3 linked regions of the Coturnix japonica genome follow. The protein of the gene in region 1 interacts with the protein of each later gene in a pairwise test. Links are inferred from orthologs where the notes say so. Each region holds a gene or a part of one and is shown in the gene's direction. Other genes may lie near its edges.

Evidence for each region.
Region 2: the proteins of NMI (region 1) and myotubularin-related protein 9-like interact in binary tests that used the Homo sapiens proteins (3 or more experiments, as listed by UniProt). The two-hybrid records come from large-scale screens. The link is inferred for Coturnix japonica from reciprocal best matches to the Homo sapiens genes NMI and MTMR9.
Region 3: the proteins of NMI (region 1) and TXLNB interact in binary tests that used the Homo sapiens proteins (3 or more experiments, as listed by UniProt). The two-hybrid records come from large-scale screens. The link is inferred for Coturnix japonica from reciprocal best matches to the Homo sapiens genes NMI and TXLNB.

The regions. Positions count from the first base shown.
Region 1 is NC_029522.1:30,820,996-30,828,325, forward strand, and holds the start of NMI (N-myc-interactor), read left to right. Parts: upstream 1-2,999; 5' UTR 3,000-3,133; exon of another isoform or gene 3,134-3,136; intron 3,137-3,300; 5' UTR 3,301-3,306; coding exon 3,307-3,351; intron 3,352-4,586; coding exon 4,587-4,661; intron 4,662-4,948; coding exon 4,949-5,107; intron 5,108-5,953; coding exon 5,954-6,061; intron 6,062-6,959; coding exon 6,960-7,122; intron 7,123-7,330. UniProt on the Homo sapiens protein: Acts as a signaling pathway regulator involved in innate immune system response.
Region 2 is NC_029538.1:4,519,609-4,526,938, forward strand, and holds myotubularin-related protein 9-like, read left to right. Parts: upstream 1-2,626; 5' UTR 2,627-2,735; intron 2,736-3,116; 5' UTR 3,117-3,316; intron 3,317-3,423; 5' UTR 3,424-3,430; coding exon 3,431-3,627; intron 3,628-3,779; coding exon 3,780-3,839; intron 3,840-4,086; coding exon 4,087-4,195; intron 4,196-4,406; coding exon 4,407-4,532; intron 4,533-4,668; coding exon 4,669-4,842; intron 4,843-4,921; coding exon 4,922-5,139; intron 5,140-5,230; coding exon 5,231-5,392; intron 5,393-5,472; coding exon 5,473-5,614; intron 5,615-5,691; coding exon 5,692-5,912; intron 5,913-6,064; coding exon 6,065-6,216; intron 6,217-6,349; coding exon 6,350-6,513; 3' UTR 6,514-6,761; downstream 6,762-7,330. Other genes in the region: protein FAM167B, read right to left, coding at 1,309-1,572, 1,961-2,242. UniProt on the Homo sapiens protein: Acts as an adapter for myotubularin-related phosphatases. Increases lipid phosphatase MTMR6 catalytic activity, specifically towards phosphatidylinositol 3,5-bisphosphate and MTMR6 binding affinity for phosphorylated phosphatidylinositols.
Region 3 is NC_029518.1:48,840,814-48,848,043, forward strand, and holds part of TXLNB (beta-taxilin), read left to right. Parts: intron 1-1,828; coding exon 1,829-2,023; intron 2,024-3,643; coding exon 3,644-3,763; intron 3,764-7,230. UniProt on the Homo sapiens protein: Promotes motor nerve regeneration. May be involved in intracellular vesicle traffic.

The DNA.
Region 1 (7,330 bases):
GGCATGGGGTCTCTGTTTTCTATTTTTGAATGTGTGAAATTAACACATTAACAGGAATCATACCTCTGAACTCCACTTAGTGGAATTTGAGCTCAGCTGGAGCACTGTGTGCAGTTCTGGGCACTGCAATATCAAAAGGATGTGAAGCTATTAGAGAGCATCCAAAGGAGGGCTGCAAAGATGGACAAGATTTGAGGGCAGAGGATGTGAGGAGTGCTTGAGGTCCCTTGGTTTGCTTGTCCCAGAGAAAAGAAGCTGAGGGGAGCGCTAAGCCTTTGCTAGCTGGTTTTGAAAGGAAGCACCAAACACACTGGATAGCTGTGGAATAAGGTTCCATCAAAATACCCAAGATCCATCAAAGCACCATTGGAACACCTCAGTGGTTGAATCTGGCTCCTTAATATTAAGCTAAAGAATCCAAGAACTGCCTGCACTGAGATGCTACTAGACCTATCTAGAGAACAAGGTTGTTTTGTAGCCAGGTTCAAGGGTCAGGCACTGAGCAAGGTTTTCATGATCACAGCTATGAACTAAGCACTTAATTCTATTCACTTCCTTCTTCAGATCTATTCTGACTTGAAAAGAACCCAAATCCTCTCCCTCTGCAGATAAGGCCATCAGATTCTTACCATACTGAGGCATGGTCAACTTGTTTAGGTACGAATAAAAAATAAGACTTATGGCTGTAAACGCTCTTCCAGCTTAATCAGGGTATTTCCTGCTATAGCTGAGTTCCAATACTGTGCTGCTGGAAGGATCTAGGTTCTCTTTTGAAGTTTCCAGTTCACATTTCTAGGTTTATCAAGAGCCTTTTCAGATTCCTAAAGAACAAGTCTGGTATCAATGCAGTCTGCTCACAGAAATCCCAAGAGTTTTAAAGCTTCTCATACTCTATACTACGTTGTACTCCTTGATATTCCCCTTTAGCTAGATTCTTCAGAGTTATGAAATCAACGCTTTTCCCATTACATTGATTCATATGTGGTTAACACTGAATTCATAGAAAATCAGCTAACAAACAAACTCGAAGTCAACTCCAGAGTTAAGGCACTTGCTCCAGTCCAGTATCTCCTTCCCAAAACAAGCACAAACACATTGTTCAGTGCAAATCCCAAAGCAGGCCATGTAAACAGATTGGCTTTGCTGCATTCCCTGGAGTTTAAGAGAAAGGAGGCTTTTTCAGATCCATGGTGACTTCCCATCATGATTATGGTTACTGGAGAACAGCCTGCCACCCTGACATTTAATTCTGAAATCTGATGTACTTAGGTCATAACATAATCACCTCCTCCTCCTCCCTGGCTACTCCAGCTAAACCTCTCCCTTTTACTCATCTCATTAGTAACCAACATTGTGTTTACAAAGCAATAGTAAACAGTTATCCATTGTCAAGGCAGAAAAATAATTACAAAAAAAAAAAAAATAATACAGGGTCACAGTTTCATCCGCTGATCAGATAAGAACATTTGAAACTGTCATAATAATTTCCCTATGGGTAGAGCTCCTTCTGAATTTGGTGGCACAAGGTGACCGCTAACTCTTTATCCATCGATTTGGCATAAGTTGAAATTCTGAAAACTAATTAACTTCAGCAGTCAGCACCAACTGACTGCTAACTATGCAAACTATTCCGGCCAATGAACAAAGTCTGGTTGCAGCTTTGGGGGTACCATTCAAAAGGTTATTCAGCTCAGCCTTCAAGGAATCTTGACATGCTTTTTCCCTCATTTTTTTTTGGCCTAGGACACAGACATTCCCCAGATTTTGTTCATGACTGCAGCTCATCTGCTATGTGTATCTAAATGGACATTAACCGTCTCAAACTCCATCGGTGTCTGACTGCCTGGCTACAGTCTTGGACACAGTCTGCTCCTGAATCCAAGAGCTGATGAAAGACAACTGTGGTTCTCTTTTCTTTCACTTCTCCATGTTTAAGCACACACACTTCGCACAGCTCCCACCATGAGTTCAGCCTGTCCCACCAACGTCATCTGCAGAATGAAGTCAGTTGTACGCATCTCAGGATCCATGTGAGATCCTTTCCTTTACATACTACGTAAAGAAGGATCGCTCAGGAAACCTAGGCTTCTATAGTCCTTGTAAAGGAAGAGACAGAGCTTTCTCTACTTCAAGTTTATAATCATGGAAATCTACCCCATTTTATTTATTTTTACCTAAAAAAGATACTCCGTGAGGTCTTTTTAGAGAATGAGTGCCCATTGGCTGAGACAGTGAACATCTGCTAAGATAATTCACAGCAGCCCACATTTTCTGGCTTCTCAAAGCTGATTTCCATGTGTGCTGAAGCTCTCCTCTACCCAGTGCTGTGCAAGTACAGTTAGAATCACAGAACAGTTAAGGCTGGAAAAGTCCAACCCACCCCACGTAGTTGGCTTGGTTATAGACTATCCATCTTTGTTGCCCCATTCCAAATGCATCAGTCACTGAGCACTTCTGTGCTCATGGAATATTTATATAGTGAAAGGTTCATAAAGCAACTGTGCTTATCTGATTGATAAGAGAGGGCAGCCACCCCAATGGACTTTGGACCCAAGATGGCAGGTGGTCCCCAAGATGGCGGGCGGTCCCCAAGATGGCGGGCAGCCTCAGCCCCAAGGAGCTGCTCATGGCCATCGCCCACCTCTCAGTTTTCAGAGATTTGTGTTTTCCAGCAGTTGTTTATTACAGTGCAGCACTTCTATCAGCAATTGATTGTCACCAACCGCTGATGCCTTTTACCACTTCCCAGCAACCTGTTCTTTAGAACACAAAGTTGTTTCCAGAGCGCTTTAGAATGACCAAATCCAGCAAAACCAGCCTGAAGACACAAAGGAAAACCCACAGGCTGAGCCATGAGCTCCCAGCCAAGAGTGCCCACCAGCTCCCCTCCGTCTCCTGCCCCGGCAGCTCAGCGCCGCGCAGATGGAGGAGGAGGATGGAGGAGGAGGAGGAGGATGGAGGAACCACCTTCCTTCCTTCACGTGATTTCGAGGAAGGGGAGCGGTGACACCACAGCCCGCAGCAGCTGGGGAACCTCCGGCTCCTCCTCCAGCAGTAGGGAAAGCGAAAGCAGAAGCCGGCGGCTGTGGGAGGGAAGGGGGGAGGGAGAGCCATCCCGACGGGAGATCCGCAGGTAGCGCTGTGTGGGGCCGGGGGGCTCATGAAGCTCCCTATATATATCATTGTTGCATCTAATTCCTTTCTTTTAGACGATGTTGGCTCATTATATGGTATTTCATTCAGAGCTGTTTGCCACATTTAGAGCTATAAGGCATAACTTTGTCATTTTTTTCCCCTCAGGTTGCAATGGATTCAACAAACCCACCGTATTCTTCGGGAGATAATGGTTTGGTGAGTAGCTCCTGATGCTCTGTATTTGGTTTCTCGGAGTGCAGATTTGTGCTTGGAGTGCTGGGACAGTGCTCCTCAAACCCCTGTCCCACTGCATTCCACCCTTCAGTACTCGGGGCATTCCTCATCCACCTCCTTTAATCACACCTTCACTTCCAGGTGACGTTGCACCAGCTCTGCACCTTGCACTGCATTAGGGCCTGGCCTTGTGCTTCCTTTCCTGCCTGCCTTCTGTCTCCATAGGAGAGTCCAATCCTGGATTTCTTGTGTTTTCCTGTTGTTTTTTTTCCCTTCAGGTTGAATATTGCTGCCTTAGTGCATTTTCCCTACCAAGCAGGCATCCTTTCTTATCAGGCTCCAGCTGCAGCACGTGCATCGTTCTGCTTTCCTGCATTCACTCCCACGAGTGAAGGAATATTTGCTGGTTTTCAGTGATACGCAGATGGGGGTTTCCCTGTTGCTTAACAGGACTTTGAAACTGGACAAAGTAGTTGAGGAAAAATATTTTATATGTTATTGTTTTTAGGAAAAACCCAGAATTATCAAGAGAATTAACCAGATAATCTGACAGGCCTTTTCCAAGCCTGAGTTTCATGGTTCACATTCAAGTTTTATGTAATCTGAAGTAAAAGGGAGGGATTGCTTCACGAGGTCTCTTTGGATTTTTTTTCTCTCTTTTTTTTTTTCCCCCTTGCAGAATATTGCAGTCATAGAAACAAAACAGAACAGAGATTTTCTCTCTTCTTGAGCTTTATCCAGTTGTCACTTCCCTGTGCTTGTGAACTTCTGCCCTGCCATGCTCGCAGTCTGAAGTTCTTCTGTTGCCTTTCTCTCACCTGATATTACCATTCCTTATCTAACCGAGCTTAGAAACATCCCATTCTGTAGTCTCTTTCTTCTCTTCAGGCTCTATACACCCTCTTAGAGGAGCTGCTGAGAAAGCCTACAGATAAACCTCGGTGGGACTCGGGGGCTCAGTTCTCAGTAGAAGAACACAGAGGCCACTTGCTTTTATGGTTTATTAACATACCAACCTGTGAGTGCTTCCAGCTGGATAGTTAGAAAATAATGAGCATGGACCAGTTTCCATTTGCTTAGATTTTGGTCCTGTCCAGCCATGAAAGTAGTTCATTTTGTACTAAGTTTGTACTAGGTTTTACAGGAACCTTTGGTTATGAAGTACTTCAATGATTCTCTAACTGGGAAATAAAACTCAGTGTGTCTTTTCTCTACAGCATGTGACAACCGCTGACCTTCCTGACACATCAGAAGAGATGGAAAGTCTTAAACAGGAACTGGAGAAATGGAAGGCAAGTTCTACAAAGTGTGTGGAAATTAGATGGAAGATACCTGGAAGGGCATTAATCTGCTCTTCTACATCTAAATCCACTCCCCTCCCATCATAATAGATGTTTGTCTAACATGCTCTCTGTTCTTTAATGCTATATGCCTACGTTAACCTCAGTGGTGGCTACACTTGCAAGTCTAAGAGAAATATTTATCCAAAGCATTAAAACTAAGCACAAGTAAAGGGTTTCCCTAAGGTTTTGTTTGTTCTTGTGGAGATAGAAAATCTGAAAGTCTTTTTACCATCCAGGAAAGATTTGAACAAGCTGAGAAAACAAAAACCGACCTTCAACATAGCATATCAACTGCTAATGAAGAATATGTGAAAATACAGCATGAGCTGACAGAGCTAAAGGATGCTCAAGAGAAACTTAATAAAGAGAGTGGCATGTCTAAGGCCGTCTATGAGGTATGGAGAAGGCTTACTCGTGACTGTCAGTATTGGTGGAATTGTGGGGGAAGTATTGGTTAGGGAAGGTAATATTTCCATTCCAGTTGAAATAGCTTTACCAGTTTGCAGACTGTGGGACTAATATTTTAAACATGGGTTTTCAATGTCAGATGAAGAACTGGTGCGATTAAATAAGTCTTACAGGAATGAGAAACTGAGACTGATCTTATGTGGAAAATGAAGATAAAAAACAGTCTTCCAAGATTCTCCTCTAACTGATATATTTCAGCTTTGTGTGATGAAGATAGAATTGAATGGGACTGAATGGGTTGTTTCCATTGCTTCATTAAATCCCAGCACCTCCTAGACGAGGTTACAGCACCCAAGGGATTGGCATTTCTTAAGTGACAGTAAGCTGGGCAAAGGCCAAACGCGGTCTGAAGATGGCTCTTCTTTCTGGAACAAATTGGTTCATTACCTCAGAGTGCTGTGAAGTCGTCAGTACAGCAAAAGAGTTTTCCACAGGCTGTAAAAGAGCTGGTTTCTGTGTCATTTTGTTTAGCCTGAGAGCCACTGATGAGCAAGTTATGCTTCCATATTGCAAGCTGGGTGACTTATTGTATGCAGTATATCCTTGGAAAAACCAACACTCTGTTTGAAAGTCCTTACTGTAATTTGCTTTGATTGAAACTGCTCCTTGGTGAGTGCATTTGCCTTGCAGATAGGTAAAGTTATGGAAAAATGCCTCATGCTTGGTGGTAATATTTGAAAGCTGAAACACTTTCTAATATCTACAGATTTTGCTGAAACGTACTTCTATCTCCTGTATGTTTAATTTTGCATTTAATACTTTTTGGGCTGTAGACAGAGCTTTGTGTGCTAGACCACGATAATTCTGAGCTGAAGAGAGACATTGAGAAGCTCAAAGAAGAGCTTGCAGAATGTTGTTCAGCGCTCTCGCAGGATGGTAAGGTAATGCTTGCAATATTTTACAGTTATTATTTTAGAAGGACACATTTTTGGTCAATTCTAGACTGTTGAGGTCAGCTGTTTACAGTCATAGAATGACCTGGGTTGAAAAGGACCGCAATGATCATCTGGTTTCAACCCTCTGCTATGTGCAAGGTCACCAAACACCAGACCAGGCTGCCCAGAGCCACATCCAGCCTGGTTTAGCATTTAAAGCTCAACTGATTTCAGTATAAAGTACAGCTTGATGCTTTATTTTCTTACTTTATTTGGCAAGAAAATGTGAAAAAGACTAAGGATATGGAAACAAATATGAGTGTGTGAGATACTGATGAGTGAGAAAAGTGAAGAAAAGTAGAAAATAAATTAAGTGGAAGACATTGGAGTAAAAAATGCACGTAGTATTGCTATTAATTTTCAAGTGCTCACATTTAGTATTCCTTGGGTGTGAGGATGGCAGAAAGAATGAGTCCTTTGGCAGTAGTGAGAACAGAAAGAGAACAAGCTCTGAGTTAAGATGCTGGTTTTGAAGATAGGTGACAGAAATGCTTTTATTGCTCAGGCTGTTTTGTCTTGGAGGAAAACAGTATTTTCCTTTTATTTTGAAACAGTTTCAAAAGGGGAAAGAGACGCATCTGAAACTCCCTGGTATCTATTAAAGTAGGCTTTCCTAACCAATGTTTTCATGAGTACTCTTACCTACTCTCATTATAAAATACTTCTGTTTTACTACGATGGTAATATGCAAGGTAATTTATGAACAGATTCACCATTGCTGTAGAACAATAATGCAAGTAAGTAAAAAGAAACGATAGCGATGACTCTCATACTTACTTTACAACTTCCTGTTGTAAATTAAATTACATGAAGTTTGTTCTCTATCTTGATTCTAAAATACTAGATTAAAAAAAGGGTGGCAGAAATGAAAGTGGAGTTCACTCGCATGGAAGACACAGAGGGTGACATTCTGGATATGAACACCCACTGCGTTTTTTCTGTAACAACAAGAATCCCATTCAAACTGAACCAAAACCGAGCACTGCTTACTTTGGAAGATGAAGAAGGTATGATGCATATTTGAAGTATAAAATGAACGGCTGATGTATTTCATTACCATAATGGGTGACTCCATTATGCATGTATACTGCAGATACATCTGATCCATTATTTCAGCTAAAATCTAACAGCCTTAGTGGGCATTCTCCACTGCTGGTAGTGATGTGTTTTTATCTGTGGGTTTTTGAAATAAAATACCAAAAGTCCAGTATTGAT
Region 2 (7,330 bases), on another chromosome or scaffold:
CCCTGGTCCCTTTAGAGCCCCCTTCCCAAAGCTCAGTGCTGTGGGACAGCAGTGGCAGCTCCGGTTGTGCCGTACCCCCACCAGACCCTGCTGGGCTGTGAGACACCTCCTGCACCCACAGCCCCACTTTGGCCATCACCACCACACGCCCCCCACACCTCAGTCCCCCAAGAGCAGCATTGACAGCTGAAATGGGGACAGACCGGAGGGGACGCCTCGTGCCCAGGCTGTGCCACACCACCAGCCCGGTGTTTTCAGAGACAGCTCTGAGCAGAGCAACCACAACGCTATTGTCTCGGCTTCCACCATCAAAGGCAAAGCCGCAGGTTCCCACCAGCTGCTTTGCAGCAGGGCAGGCAGAACCACCAAGCTGTGCCGGGGGGCACCGAGCGCTGCACCCACCCTTATGGGGACATTCCTCAGCCCCACACCCAGCGTGTTCCCCAGCACCATGGGTGCCCCTGGGCAAGGGCTCACTGCCAGCCCCTGCCATGTGCTGCTGCCTCAGGGGATCGTGCAGCTCTGCCTGTTTCCTCCTGGTACCCCAGAACGGTCCCTTGAACCATCCCACCACTTCCTGGGTCACCCCGTATCACCCCGGGGCAGTGCTTGCAAAATGTGTTTTGCCACACGCTAAGAGTGGCAGCTCCTTGGGCAAAGGGTTTGGTGTGAACAGGGGAAGGGCTAAGAATGGAAAAGCAAAGCCCTGCAACAAGGACAGCCATAGGCAGAGCCCACAGCGCCTCCAGCACCGGGGGTGGCCATGGGGTAGCGTGGGGCTGCCGAGCACTGAGCACAGCCCCAGAACCTCCAGGCCCCACAACCCACGCAGCTGTTGGCAGTGAGCACTTCCTGCAGCAGCGCAGCCCCAACACCCATCGCAGTCAGTTCGTGGGCAGGGGCTGGCAGTGGGGTCCTCACAGCAGAGACCCTTTTTTCCCCAGCGTGGATCCATCCCAAAGCAGAAACCATTGAGGAAACCAGCCCACAGGGCAGAGCTGGGAGCGGGTCCCCTCCTGGCACCCCAAGGGGTTGGTGGCACTGCAGGAGGCACCTGGTTGTGCACAGCAGGAAGTGCTTCTTCTCACCATCACCTGCTTTTATTCCTCCTCCAAGTGCTGCTCCCCACATCCTCCCCTGCCGCTGACCCCCACCACACACAGCACCCCACGGGATGGCACGTCTCCATTAGCACAAACAAGATGGAGCTCAGCCCTGAGCCCGATGTCCCTGCAGCGCTTTGGGGCACCTATGAGCCTCTCTCAACCCCCAGCTGCACCCATGGGTGCCCGCCGGGCCCCGCTGCACTCAGCAGAGGGAGAAGCGCCGGGAGTTGATGTTCATGCGGGTGACACCGATGTGCTTGAGCGGCATGGAGAGCAGGAAGGCGGCCTTGGGGGGGATGGTGCAGAGCAGATCCGAGTCCTCCTCGCAGCCCTCGAGGCCGAAGGTGGCGTCGTCCAGCATCTCCTTGTGCCGGTGGCAGACCTGCTCCACCTTCAGCCGGTTCAGCTGCGCCCGCAGGCGCATCAGCTGCTGTGCCAGGCGCTGGTCCGCAGCCTGCAGCTCCTGCTGGGGGGGAACGGAGCTGTCGGCAGGGGCTCAGAGCCAGCAGGGCTGCTGTGACAGCAGGGCTTGGTGCCAGAGCCTCGGGGAATCAGGAATACACACAGAGCCCACGTGTGCAGCACAGGCTGGGCACAGGGACTGGGATCTGCCCAGGTAGGTTTGCAGCCATGAGGCTGTTGCTGCCTGCACAAAGCAGCAGGGAGGGCTGACAAATGCAGAGCCACAACCCGCAGCGCTGGGCAGGGCAGGAGGGCAGAGCTGCAGCCCCGGGCACAACCCCACAAGCAGCGGCCGCGCTTGGAGCGGGAGCAGAGCTGTGAGCTGCAGCGGGAGCAGCCCTGGTGGGGTCAGGCACCGCCCCTCCGTGCCCCTCACCCTCAGCGTTACTCACCAGCTCCATCCTCAGCCACTGCAGAGCCTCCTCCATACCAGGGAAGCCACAGACGCTGCCGTCCCGCTCAGCCCCGGGCTGCCCCGAGGTCCCCTTCGCCCCCCGTGGGGTCGGGCTGCCCCAGGGCTGCCCCCGCACCCGCGCCTCCCACTCCAGGTACGAAGGGCGGCGGGTCTGCAGCTTCAGTTTGGCCGTGAGCGCCTTGACCCCAGCCAGGCTCTCCTCACCTGCAGCCGGTTCCTCCGCGCCCAGCTCAGAGAAGTTCACCTGGCCCAGGGCCATGGCTGCAGCCCGGCTCCCAAACCCCAAACGACCCCAAATCTCCAATTGCAGCTCCCAGCTCCCAGATCCCAAACCCCAGCGCACCCAGCAGGACGAGGAACGGCTGCGCCGAGTGCCGCCTATTTATCTACCCCCGGAACAATAAAGGTTGGGGATAATTATAACGGGCAGGAACTCGGCTTATCCAGAGGCGTGCAAAGAAGTTGCTTTTTGTTGTTGTTTTTATGTCCCTTTTCTTTCCTATTTGAGCGCCGCTGTCTCCGGTTGGGAGGCGGCTCCGTGTCCTCCCGGATGAAGCGCGGGGCGGTCGCGGGACGCGGTGCCGGGCTGAGCCGTCCCGCTCCACTCGCTGCGTGACACACCGACTTCCCGTCCGGGGCCGCTAAAAAAAGGGCGAAGGAAACGAGCAGCTCCACGTGCCCGCGGGGCGGAGTGCGGGGCCGTGGGCGCCCGGCAGCTGCGGGACAGCTGTGCGCTGCTGCGGGGCCTTAAGGTGGGTGCGGCGGCCCGGAGCCCCTCGCCCCCCGCTGCCGTCCCCTGACCCCACACGGCCCCGCTTGCTCCCGTTGCGGGGCTGCAAACGCGCGTGCACCCCCGGTGTGACCCCTCCCCGTGTCCCCTGACTCACTCCCCGGCCCCGCATCCACCGGCGGGGCCACCTTAACCCGCCCCCCCCCAGCGGCTCCGTTCCTGCTCAGCCCCGCACCCCGCGTGCCCCCTGTGTGCCCCCCGCCCGTCACCCCCCGGAGCCGTGGATCCATGGGCGGGGGTGGGTATTGGGGTTGGGGTGCACTGTGCGAGCCGCCCCCTCCTCCTCCTCCTCCCTTCTTCCTCCTTTTTCTCCCCTCTTCCTCCTCCTCCTCCCGCCCCACAGAACGGAGCCGATGTGAGGCTGCAGCCGGCCCAACTCCCCCCCAGGTGCCCCCCAGCCCGCACCGGGCGCGGCGTCCCTGCACCCACAGCCCCCCGAGCCCCGCGGGTCTCTGCCTCAGTTTCCCCACTGCGGTGACAGCAGCGCCGGGGAGGGGAGGAAACCAGCGCAGCTCAGCAGGGAGGAAGCGGCATCGGCTTTAGGTGACGACGCGAACGGGACGGGGGTGGCTGCACTGCGGGGAGGGACGGGGGGGTGGGGGGGCTCCAGCCGGGCTGTGCCGCTCAGGATTTCCCCTTTCTCCCTCCAGCACCGCCATGGAGTTCTCCGAGCTGATCAAAACGGCCACGGTGGAGAGTGTGCTGCTGTCGTGTGCGGGGCAGCCGGCGGTGAAGGGCACCCTGTGCATCACCAGCCACCACCTGCTGCTCTCCTCCTGCCCCGGCGGCGACGGGCAGCCCAGCGCCGTGGAGCTCTGGCTGCTCATCCGCAACGTGGACGCCGTGGAGAAGAGGTCGGTCCTTTCCCACCCTGTGTCCCCTCTTTGTCCCGTCCTGGATGGGGGTGATTCCCGGCTGCCCTCCCGGCACCGCAGAGCCTCCTCTCTCCTCTTCCCCATGGCCTGTGGCAGTGGCCATTGACCTCCTCTTCTCCTCCGTGCCCCAGAGTGCAGAATGTAGGCTGGTATCAGCCCCCCCACAGCAGCGGCTCCCCGCGGGACAACAGGTTTGGCTTTAGGTGCTCTCAGCTCCTCCATCTTGCCCGGCAGTGCCCGGCCCCACGCAGCTCAGTGGGGCGAGGATGGCTATGGCTGCTCAGAGGGGAGCTGGTGGGAGTCACAGCTTCAGGCACACCGAGATCCACCGGGAGCCCCGCTCAGTGCTGTGCCCTTCTCAGCCCCCCCGGACAGAGGGCAGCTCCGTGCTGTCTGCACGTGCAGCCCCTCCTGCCCTGACCCCGCTGCCCTCCCCAGGCTGGCCGGCTCCTCCGGCACCATCACACTGCGCTGCAAGGACCTGAAGGTGCTGCAGCTGGAGATCCCGGGCATGGAGGAGTGCCTGAACATCGCCAGCTCCATCGAGGTGAGCCGTGCCGGGCTGCAAAGGGTTCAGGTGGCTGCCCACGGTGTTTGCTCTGGGTCTGCCATTAACGTGGGTAAACACTCAGCTGCTCGGGCTGTGTTTGCATGGGGCACCCGCGCTGCCAAGTCTTGCAAGAAGGAACGGGGATGGGGTTTGCAGGGAGGACATTCCTGGCCTTCCCCCAGCTGTGCTGTGCTGTGCTGTGCTGCAGGCCCTCTCCTCGGTGGACTCCGTGATGATGATGTACCCCTTCTTCCACCGGCCCCAGACCCTGCGGCTGGAGGAGGGGTGGCCGCTGCTGCCCATGGAGCAGCACTTCCAGCAGATTGCCACGCAGGTTGGTCTTGGGGGGGAGGGAGGGTGTCACATCCCACCCTTAAGGAGAGGGAAGGGGTGACGGGATTGGTCCTTTACTCCTGGCTGGGGTGCAGGGGGAGGCCGCTCCCCCCTCCCACCTTCACATCTCCCCCCAGACCACCCAGTGGCGGCTGAGCGACGTGAACCAGGACTTCTCCATCTGCCCCACGTACCCTCCGGCCGTCATCGTGCCGGCGGCTGTGAGCGAAGAGACCCTGCGGAGGGCGGCCCGGTTCCGGCAGGGCGGGCGCTTCCCCGTCCTCAGCTACTACCACACCAGGAACGGCACCGTGAGTCCACATCCCGCCCCCCTTCCCTCTCCTCCCACCCCGCTGCCCGCAGGCGATGCCCGCAGCCCCCTTCCCGCAGGTGATGCTCCGCAGCGCGCAGCCGCTGACCGGCCCAAACCGCAAGCGCTGCCCGGAGGATGAGATGCTGCTGGGGTCGGTGCTGGACGAGGGCGAGCGGGGCTTCATCATCGACACGCGCTCAGCACAGACGGCCAAACAGGCGCGGATGACGGGAGGGGGCACGGAGCCCAAATCCTCGTACCCGCAGTGGAAGAGGCTGCATCGGCCGCTGGAGCGGTGAGTGCTGTGCTGAACTCAGCTCCAGCCCCAGCAGCACAGCCGCAGCCCCTCACCACGCTGCCTTCCCTTCTCCTCCCTCCCTGCCCAGTGGCCGCCCGCTGCAGGAGAGCTTCATCAAACTGGTGGAGGCCTGCAATGATGCTTCGCTGGGCATGGACCGCTGGCTGGGCCGGCTGGAGAGCTGCCGCTGGCTGAGCCACGTGAAGGCAGCTCTCAGTACAGCCTGCCTGGCTGCACAGTGCCTGGACAGGTAGGGGGCCGCGCATCCCTCCCCTCACCCCAAGGCCAATGCACAGGGTGCAGCTGGCTGAGCCTTGGCTGTGCCTGCAGGGAGGAGAGCAGCGTGCTGGTGCACGGGGCAGAGGGCACAGACACCACGCTGCTGGTGACAGCGCTGGCACAGGTGATCCTGGAGCCAGAAAGCCGCACACTGAAGGGCTTCCAGGGGCTGCTGGAGAGGGAGTGGATCCAGGTGAGGGGCAGCAGGAGCTGAGGTGGGGGTCCTGTGGTCTCCTGCAGCCCTGTTACCGCTACCACATGGTCCTGCAGGCTGGCCATCCCTTCCATCTGCGCTGTGCCCACTCCGCCTACTCACACGCACGGCTGAAGCAGGAGGCTCCGCTCTTCCTCCTCTTCCTCGACTGCGTGTGGCAGCTGAGCCGGCAGTTCCCCTTCTCGCTGGAGTTCAGTGAGGGGCTGCTCCTCACCCTCTTTGACAACGCCTACGCCTCCGACTACGGCACTTTCCTCTGCAACAATGAGAAGGAGAGGCAAGTGGCAGGGACATGGGGACAGCAGTGCCCCACGAGCGATGCCATTGTGCCCCAGAGCAGACCCTGATCCACAGGCACAGACCCCTGGGTCCATCAGTCACCATCCCGGGTCAGTCCCAGGACTGAAGCATGTCTCTGTTCTCCTGTAGGTGTCTGTGCAAAGTGAAGGAGAGCACACACTCCCTCTGGGCCTGGCTGGACCAGCCCGAGGAGAGGAAGAAGTACCTGAACCCCCTGTACTCACCCAACCCACTGGTCATCTGGCCCTCGGTGGAGCCCCAGAGCATCCAGCTGTGGCAGGGTATGGTGCTTCAAACTCAACCTCAGGCTTTCCCAACCCATCTGGGTTGCATGCAGTAGCTCTGCCTGTCGCTCCTGCAGCAGCACACAGCCCAGCTGACACAGCCCAGCTGACACAGCCCCTTGCCCCCTAGGCTTGTTCTTCCGCTGGATCCGCTCATCCCAGTACCTGGATGAGGCGTGGGCAGAGATATGGCGGTTGGTGGAGGGCAGCAACGCAGCTGTCAAGGAGAGCACAGAGAACAGGCTGAACCGCTCGCTCTCTGACCCCACTGCCCGGATGGAGAATGAAAGATGAGCAGCAGCACGAGCACCATGTCCTGGAGATCATCCCCATCACCGGGGGCTCATACACCAATGCAACACAGTGCTGCAGCTCTGCAGGAATCGCTGTGCAGGACACACAGCCTGCAGGGCCCAGAGGAGCCTGCAAGGGCCAGAACTGTAGGGACAGCCCTGGGAATGGGGGCCAGACTCAACTGAGCTCCCTGTCAGCCACGCAGCCTGAGCACATCCCAGTAAAGTGGTCTCTCTGTTTGCTCCTACTTTCCATGTGTGTTCTCTGGCCAGAGCTGGGCTGATCCTGCTCTGCTCTCCAGTAAGATTTCAGCAGCTCATACCTGGACCCAGCAGCTCTTGCTGCAGTGTACCTGGCTCGTGGGCCCTGCCCTGTGCCCAATGTACAGTTAGCAGAACACGCTAAGCTCACACCAGCCTCTCCATATCACTGCACACTGGCTGCAGGTTGTGTTACATCAGTTGCTCCAAGCTGGAAACCAGCCTGGGAGATCTGCCCTTGAACCCAGTTTCAAGGAAGGAAAGAGATAGAAACCACCCCTCCAGCCAGCAAGACAGAGGGATGGGGTCTGGAAGGATGAGGATTTGCAACACAACCCTCCTAGTGCAGGAAATAACTGTTCCATGAGGAAAGTTGGCTCAGGGTCAGTCCAGCCAATAAACAAAGCACTTGAACTGGGCGCGTGTCATCTGGAAAACAATGACTGGCAACTGCATTTCCAGGCTGTTTGCACATCCAGTTTTCACTGCTAAGTCTGCGCTTCAACAGCTGCACCTCAGCACCGGGAAGGAGTTAATGTGTGCTTGAGGACAGAGGC
Region 3 (7,230 bases), on another chromosome or scaffold:
GCTGTTCAGTGTGACTTCAGTGCAAAACACCAGTTTTTCATTTTATATTCAGCTTCATTTATTACTCCAGTGAGATTTAAATCACAGCAATGATATTATGCTATGACACTCTTTGGTCCATTAAAACAGAAAAAAATATGTTTGAGGAAGGGTGTTTCAAAGCAATGGAAATAAGATTCCAGACATACAAGTTTAGTTTCTCAGTCTGTCTTTGACTTTCCTGAAGTGAGGGCACCTTGTTGCTCTTCTCCCTGCTCAGGGCTGCATCTATGCCATGGAGAAGAAAGAGACATGAACAGTTTTTAATCAGCAAATGAGAGGTAAAATGAACTTCTGATTTAACTAAATCTATGAAGGAGCTCAAGTTTTTGTGTTCAATTTTGACTCCAGGTTCTGAAGCAGGAATCCCTTATATCCGAACCACTGCCCAGCTCCCTCTGTAATTCCACCTCTTCTGAGTGGAAGCCCTTCTGGAGTCACACTTTGTTCTATTCTGTTTGTGAGCACACACACATTTTCTTGTGCAAAGTTCACAGCACAAACACAATTTCAGAGTGATTTCTGCCCATTACTGTATCATTAACAGATGGCTCCAGCAGTTTTCCTCCTGTCATCCAAGGCTTTGTCATCTCTATAACATTCTGGCAGCAAAAGGACAAACGTCCTCTACCTTGAGCAGCAGTTGTTCAAGATCAGTCTTGTGATTTGCATGCTAAGTAGAGCTGGGGCACTTGGTATTCAGCTTAGTTTAAGAATAGGACCTGAATCAACACCCTTTCTGTCACATTTATGATATGAATTATACCTCATTCGAGTCAGCAAAAGCTTTATTCAGATATATTTACAGAAAATATGCATATGCAGTGTTATCAGAGGTTTTTATGTAAATGAATAGTTGAAATAGTTGAAGCTTTATTAGAGTATGCATGCCATTTGCATGCTGTGGAGAGATTTCTTAAAATGGTTCTGGCATGATTTGTAACAACAGTAGATATGATACTAGGTATTTAGTATGAGGATGGCATTCACCATCAGGGCAGGCTGCCCTGGAAGTAAACAAGAGGGAAATAAAGTTGTCCATACTTCTTGATTGAAAGCAATGGATCTAAATTATTTCCCCAATCCCTTCCATAAATAAAACAAAATCCAAAACAGAATTGCAATAACTGGTGAAAACATAATCCATCAATCTTTCTTCAAGCCAGGTTCTGATTCTCTGCTTTGATTCTTTGAGAGCCAGCCCATGAGCTTTCCTCGTTTCTACCCCCATCCCAATATCTGTCAATTAGAAGGAAAGGGAAGGAAACTTGTGGAATGCAAAGGGATTCTACAGAAAATAATCCCTCTTTAAAAGTGGAAATCTCAAATTCCATAAATTTGATATGAAGATTTCTAGTTAAAAGGAGGCATTTTAAAAGAGTGGATTTTAAAATAAATCAAAAAGAAATTTGATAAAAGGGTTTTCAACGACTTGCACTAAATATCTTATTCCAAAGCAAAAGCTGTGCTGCAGTTTCATGAACTAAGGCATGCATGAACATCCCCTTTTCAGGGATTACTTTGATCTGAAATTCTGCTTTACATCCATCTTTATACATGCAAATTCGTAGTTATGTAATTTTTTCAAGACCACTGTATAATTTGCTCTCATAATTCAGCATCATGCCTAATGTTGGAGCACATGAAAGCAAGAAAATCTCTGAAGGGGAATACAGACACAGATAATCCTTCAAAGAGTAGCCTTGTGCTACTCTGAAACAGCTTTTCAGAACCACTTGTGTTATGCATCTTATTTACCCTACTGTCTTCTTACTCTACTTAACTTCAGGAGGAAACAATTCAGCGGGCACGGGAGGAAGATGAGAAGAGGAAAGAAATAACAAATCATTTCCAGGGCACGCTGAGTGAAATACAGGCTCAGATTGAGCAGCAAAGTGAGAGGAACATGAAGCTCTGCCAGGAGAACACAGAGCTGGCAGAGAAGCTGAAAAGCATTATTGACCAGTACGAGCTGCGGGAAGAGGTGAGCACTGCAATGCCCATAGGGACCAGCAGCAAACCCAGATCCATGGAGGGAAGTGGAAAGCACTGTGAACATGTCATCCCCACTGACTATCGTTTGGGCATCTCATGGGTAGCTTCTGCTGTGCTTTGCTGTCCAGTTGGGGGCCTGTATGCATCGAGCCAGCAGGATGCCACATGGAATATGTGGGTGAAAAGCTGACCTGATGGCACCCTGCATGCAGTACTCATGGCAGTTATAATGGTGGTGGGAAAAGGGACTGAGGTTCCCATGTAGCAAGATGGGAAAGCTGCCTGCTAATCTCTACCCCCATTCACTTGCTGCTCTCCTAGTCCCAAAGGACCCCAGAGTGCTCATAAAGCACCTCTCAGTTCTACCTTTTTGGACAGCCCGGCCCACAGCCAGATATATTTCTGATCCCCCCAGACACAGGTTGCTGAGGTGACCATTCCCCAGAAACAAAGCTAATAACAAAGGTAAAGCGGGTCCTTTGCATTGGAACAGACTCTTCTTTGCAGGAATAACATTTACAGTAAAATCGACAATAGATGAATTGAAAATTACATCTTTAAATATAAACATTAGAGCAGTTCAGGAAATTTTAACACCAAAAGCCCTCTGGAAAATTCCCAAGCTCCCATTTCTGTGGTGGTTTAATGACAAACACTAGCACATATTGCAGTGGGTCTTTTTATTGTTTCCAAATGTGCTTATTGTGTGGCTCAGTGAAACCAGACAACATTATCACACTGAATAAAACATGAGTAACCTGTCCTCACAATCTGGAATGCCTGATACAATACACTAATTTCTAAATCTGTTGCATCTTGTATGAAGTCTTGCGCTGAAAGAAGGGAACGTACATTCCTGTCTTGTGGTTTCTATGAAAGGAAAATGTAAAGCAGAAGGATGTGCTCAGAATATTGAGCTCTATCTAAATGCTGCAGCAGTGAAGAGTGATATCAGCAGTACTCACTTCCTGAAAGTCACTGGAGCCAGAAGTTTTACAGGCCATAGGAGACCTCATCTGTCCCACTTCCCCTCTCATTTACCCAAGCACTCCAGGCCCACATTATCCATGTGAGGCCAGATCCAATGGGATGTACTAGACATATATATACAGGAGGAGCTGCACACACACTCCCTCAGCACTGGAGGTGCAATCTGTCATCACACATTTACCCACGCAGTGGCTTAGAACCACAGGCTACTTTGCAGCTCCAAAAACAGTGCTTCCCCCACATGTTTCTAATTGATGGGCAGTTTTATGATCTACAATTATACTGGATTATACAGATGACTTTATATGCGTATCGTGGAACTGGAAAAGATGCTGAGGGTTTGCTGTTGTTGGTTTTGTTGTTGTTTTTTGTTTGTTTGTTTGTTTTGGGGGGCTGGTTACACATCAAAATAGATGATGTAAACACATTTCTTTTCCTATGCAAATTCTGGCACAGTTTGTTCTTATCAGCACCATGGCTTTTTCATAGCTGCAGTGGGTTGGGAAACTTCCTGTTTTGCAATATTTTTGTGTCCCAGTAGATAGCTGTGCATGCATGAGCATGAGTGTCTGTGTACATAACTAAACGTGCACATTCAGCAGAATCTATTCTCTTGCAGCACCTTGACAAAATATTTAAGCACAGAGAACTTCAACAGAAATTGGTGGATGCCAAGTTGGAGCAGTCTCAGGAAATGATGAAGGAAGCAGAGGAGCGACATCAGAAGGAAAAGGAATATGTACTTATCATGCTAATCTATTTTTTCTAACTTAATCTACTTTTCTTAATCTAACTTAAGGCCAAGATGAGAGCTGCATGCTATTTCACTAACATTTGATTATTCTGGTCCAAGCCATGACACAGAAGCAGAGTAGCATAAGAGAAGGATTTATTACTACTGCCAGTGCTTGATGTAAAGGAGTAGCATCTGAAAAGCTACTTTCAGGAGCATTTATAGATTTTGAAGTTTGTGTGCAGTAGGTTATAGCACAGACTCCTTCAGCAAACTCACTACTACTGCTCTAATGATTTGTCACGATGTGTCAGATGATGCCATCAGTTTTCAAATGGCTCTGATATTTGATACTCCATCTCCTCACATGGTAAATGATCACATTTAAACAAGCAGGGAGGGGAACAAGGTCTTGTGATTGAATCAGTTGAAGGCCAATATCCCCCCAGGCTCAGAGCCTCCTCAATCATTCTCCTGTGTGTCCAGTTTTATAAATGTAGGAGAACAGGAGCTGCTGCAGTCAAGTCCAACTTTTGGGCCATCCTGTGTAAAACCAGGAGTTGGAACATGATAATCCTTGTGGGCCCATTCCAATTCTAGATAGATGTTCTGTGATTCTCTTCTGCAGAGCCTCCCTCCCCATGATGGTTCAAAACGTACTTCCTCAGGCTGCCTAGCATTTTCACAACTACCTAGCATCTACCAGCATTCTCCACTGGCACAGAGACCCTCTTCTCAGCAGTGGCAGCTTCCCAGGCTACACATAGGGAAAATCTCAACAGCTGGAAGGAACCTGTAGTCCTTAGCAGTCTTCTGACCAGCTCAGGAGTTGCATCAAAGAATTCTGACAGGATTTTTATCCCATCCCCACGTCTGGAAAGAGATGCATTAGCACCAGCATAGCCTAAATACCACAGAATCATAGAATCACCAAGGTTGGAAAAGACCTCCAAGATTATCCGGTCCAGCTGTTCACCTAGCACTAATATTTTCCCACTAAACCATGTCCCTCAGTACAACATCTAAATGTTTCTTGAACACTTCCAGGGATGGTGACTGTGGACAAAACTATGGGATCATGTACAAAGGAAATACAGCAAACACCTCTCACCAAAAATTGTTCATCCTCTTTCTCTGCACTGCCTTTGTGGCTGGGACACCCAGTCCCACTTAATCACAGAGATTGGAAGGTACCTCTGGAGATCAGCTAGTCCAAAACCCTGACAAAGCAGGTTCCCTAGAGTAGGTTACAAATCTTTTCTGCTAGCTAAAAACTGAAAAGTAAGAGCAGCCAGGACTTCTCCAAGTGCACACTGGTGTGTCCCTGTATGACAGTGCATGGTCTGGCTGTACCTGCTCTTTCACTGTGGGGTCTGTGTAAAGCCAGAACCCAAAATTTTCTTCATGACAGTAGAACCTCAGCAGATTTAGTATATTCAAAGTGCAGGGAGCATTTACAATAAATCCCTTACAACAAAAAACAAATTTGGGTTTATTTTACTGCTGCCATTGTGAGTCTTCTTACTAAGACCCAGATTTCAGACAGTGGGGAAAAAAAAAAAAAAGAGAGAGAGAAAAAAAAAAAGACACAAAAGGCAGGGCACTGACTCTGTGACTCTGAAGAAAACCCACACACAGCCATGTATCAGCGACTCTTCTTCCTCTGCTCAGAGAATTTTGGGGCTGTGTGCTACTGTGACTGGCCAAGTTTGTAGCCAAAGTTTCTCACTACAATTTATTCAGTGCAGATATGCATAGTTCAGTTATTTTCATTTCTTATAAAGCAACGAAAATCATCTCCATCTACACACATACAGGAGTGGGAGATTTCCTTTGTGGCTTTGCTGAATGTACGATTAGCATCTATGAAATAGCAGGTTCAAAAACAAGCTACAAAGCCTTTAAGCTGTGGGTGTATAATGATACACACTGTGTTCAAAGACTTTTTTTCACACTATTGAAGCTAATGTTCAAAAAGACTTGCCTTAGAGGGAGTCAGGTGATACATTAGTAACATCACTTTGGAGCAAGGTAGCTTTGGCTGGAGAATATAAGTGACTGGCCAAAAGCCATGCAGCGAGTCAAGGCATAACTAGCAAATCCCAATTTATCACAGACAGCCCAGCACCCAGAGAGCTGGCCTAAACTCGTCTCCCACCTCACTCATAATGCCAAGTTCTTACTCCCACCCACTCAGCTACTGTGTGAGAGAATGTGTGTGTGTGTGTGTGTGTGTATATATATATATATGTATGTATGTATGTATGTATGTATATGTATGTGGAATTAAGATGTTTCTGATTGAGTCCTTCCATTTAGGGTTACCTCTCATTAGCTCAACTGCACAGTCAGAGCCCTACCACATCTCAGTATCCTGTCCATACCAGTTCTCTGCATACAAATTTTTTACATCCTCATGCATGAGTTTTGCTGCAGGACTTTTCAAATGTCTTTAAATGAAAATTTCTGTATTCTTTATCTATTTGATTACTCCTTGGAGGCTCACTTTGATGTTTTCCTACGCATTTCTTTCATACAGGAATCTTTGCTCCTATACAAAATTTCTTTACCTCATTTAGGGAGAGATGTCCTCTCCTGCAGACCCTGAACATCACAGCTCAATAGACAGAATCCCTTACAGAACTGTCTTATTGCTTGCACAATTCACTCCACACAAAAAGCAAGAATGCAGTCCCCTGTGTAAGTAGCAATCATCCATACTGCATAGCAGCATGATGACCCCCAAAGTGTCAGCCTGATCTAAATATGCAGTTTTACCATCATCCTATAAGTGCTCAGCACTATTTGTGACTTCCCCAACACACCATATGTTTTTAGCACTCATAAAGCAAACTTTGAACTGCAGTTAATTGCAGTTTAAAGCCCCTGTGACTTTGAAGAGTGTGACTGAAAGGTAATGATCAGATGTCTACATAATTGGAATATGAAAACTACGGCAGCAAAAAAAGAGGGAAACCTTTTTTTCACAAAGCCATTCCCTAGATCTATGTCATTAAATGGGAATGAGTGTTCTTGTTCTTTTAGCTGTGAGCATGATATGACTGCCTGGGCTTCCAGAAGCTATCATAGCTCTAATGATATTGTATAACATCACCACACTTCACTGAATTGCTGTTTTGTAAACCCCACATTCAATATTTATTCGTTTCGTTATACTACAGCCTCCTTGTTACTACTTCGTAGCCAATTAATAAATGTATCAGTTCTCCTGATGCAGTTTCTCTCAGCTTGGTGTTTGCAGATGACCCCAGGCTGCACGTTAATTTGAGCAAACCTGTCTGAGGCTTGCTTCCCTTACAGAATAGTTTATTAACTCTTAGATTTTCAGTGGCTACAGAAGTGAAACGGGTCAATAGTACAGAACAGTTTCATTAGCAGGCAAAATATGTACCTTTTCCTTGCCTTCTCTGCCTATCTTACATCTTTTGTACTGTAGCAGAAGACATGGCAGG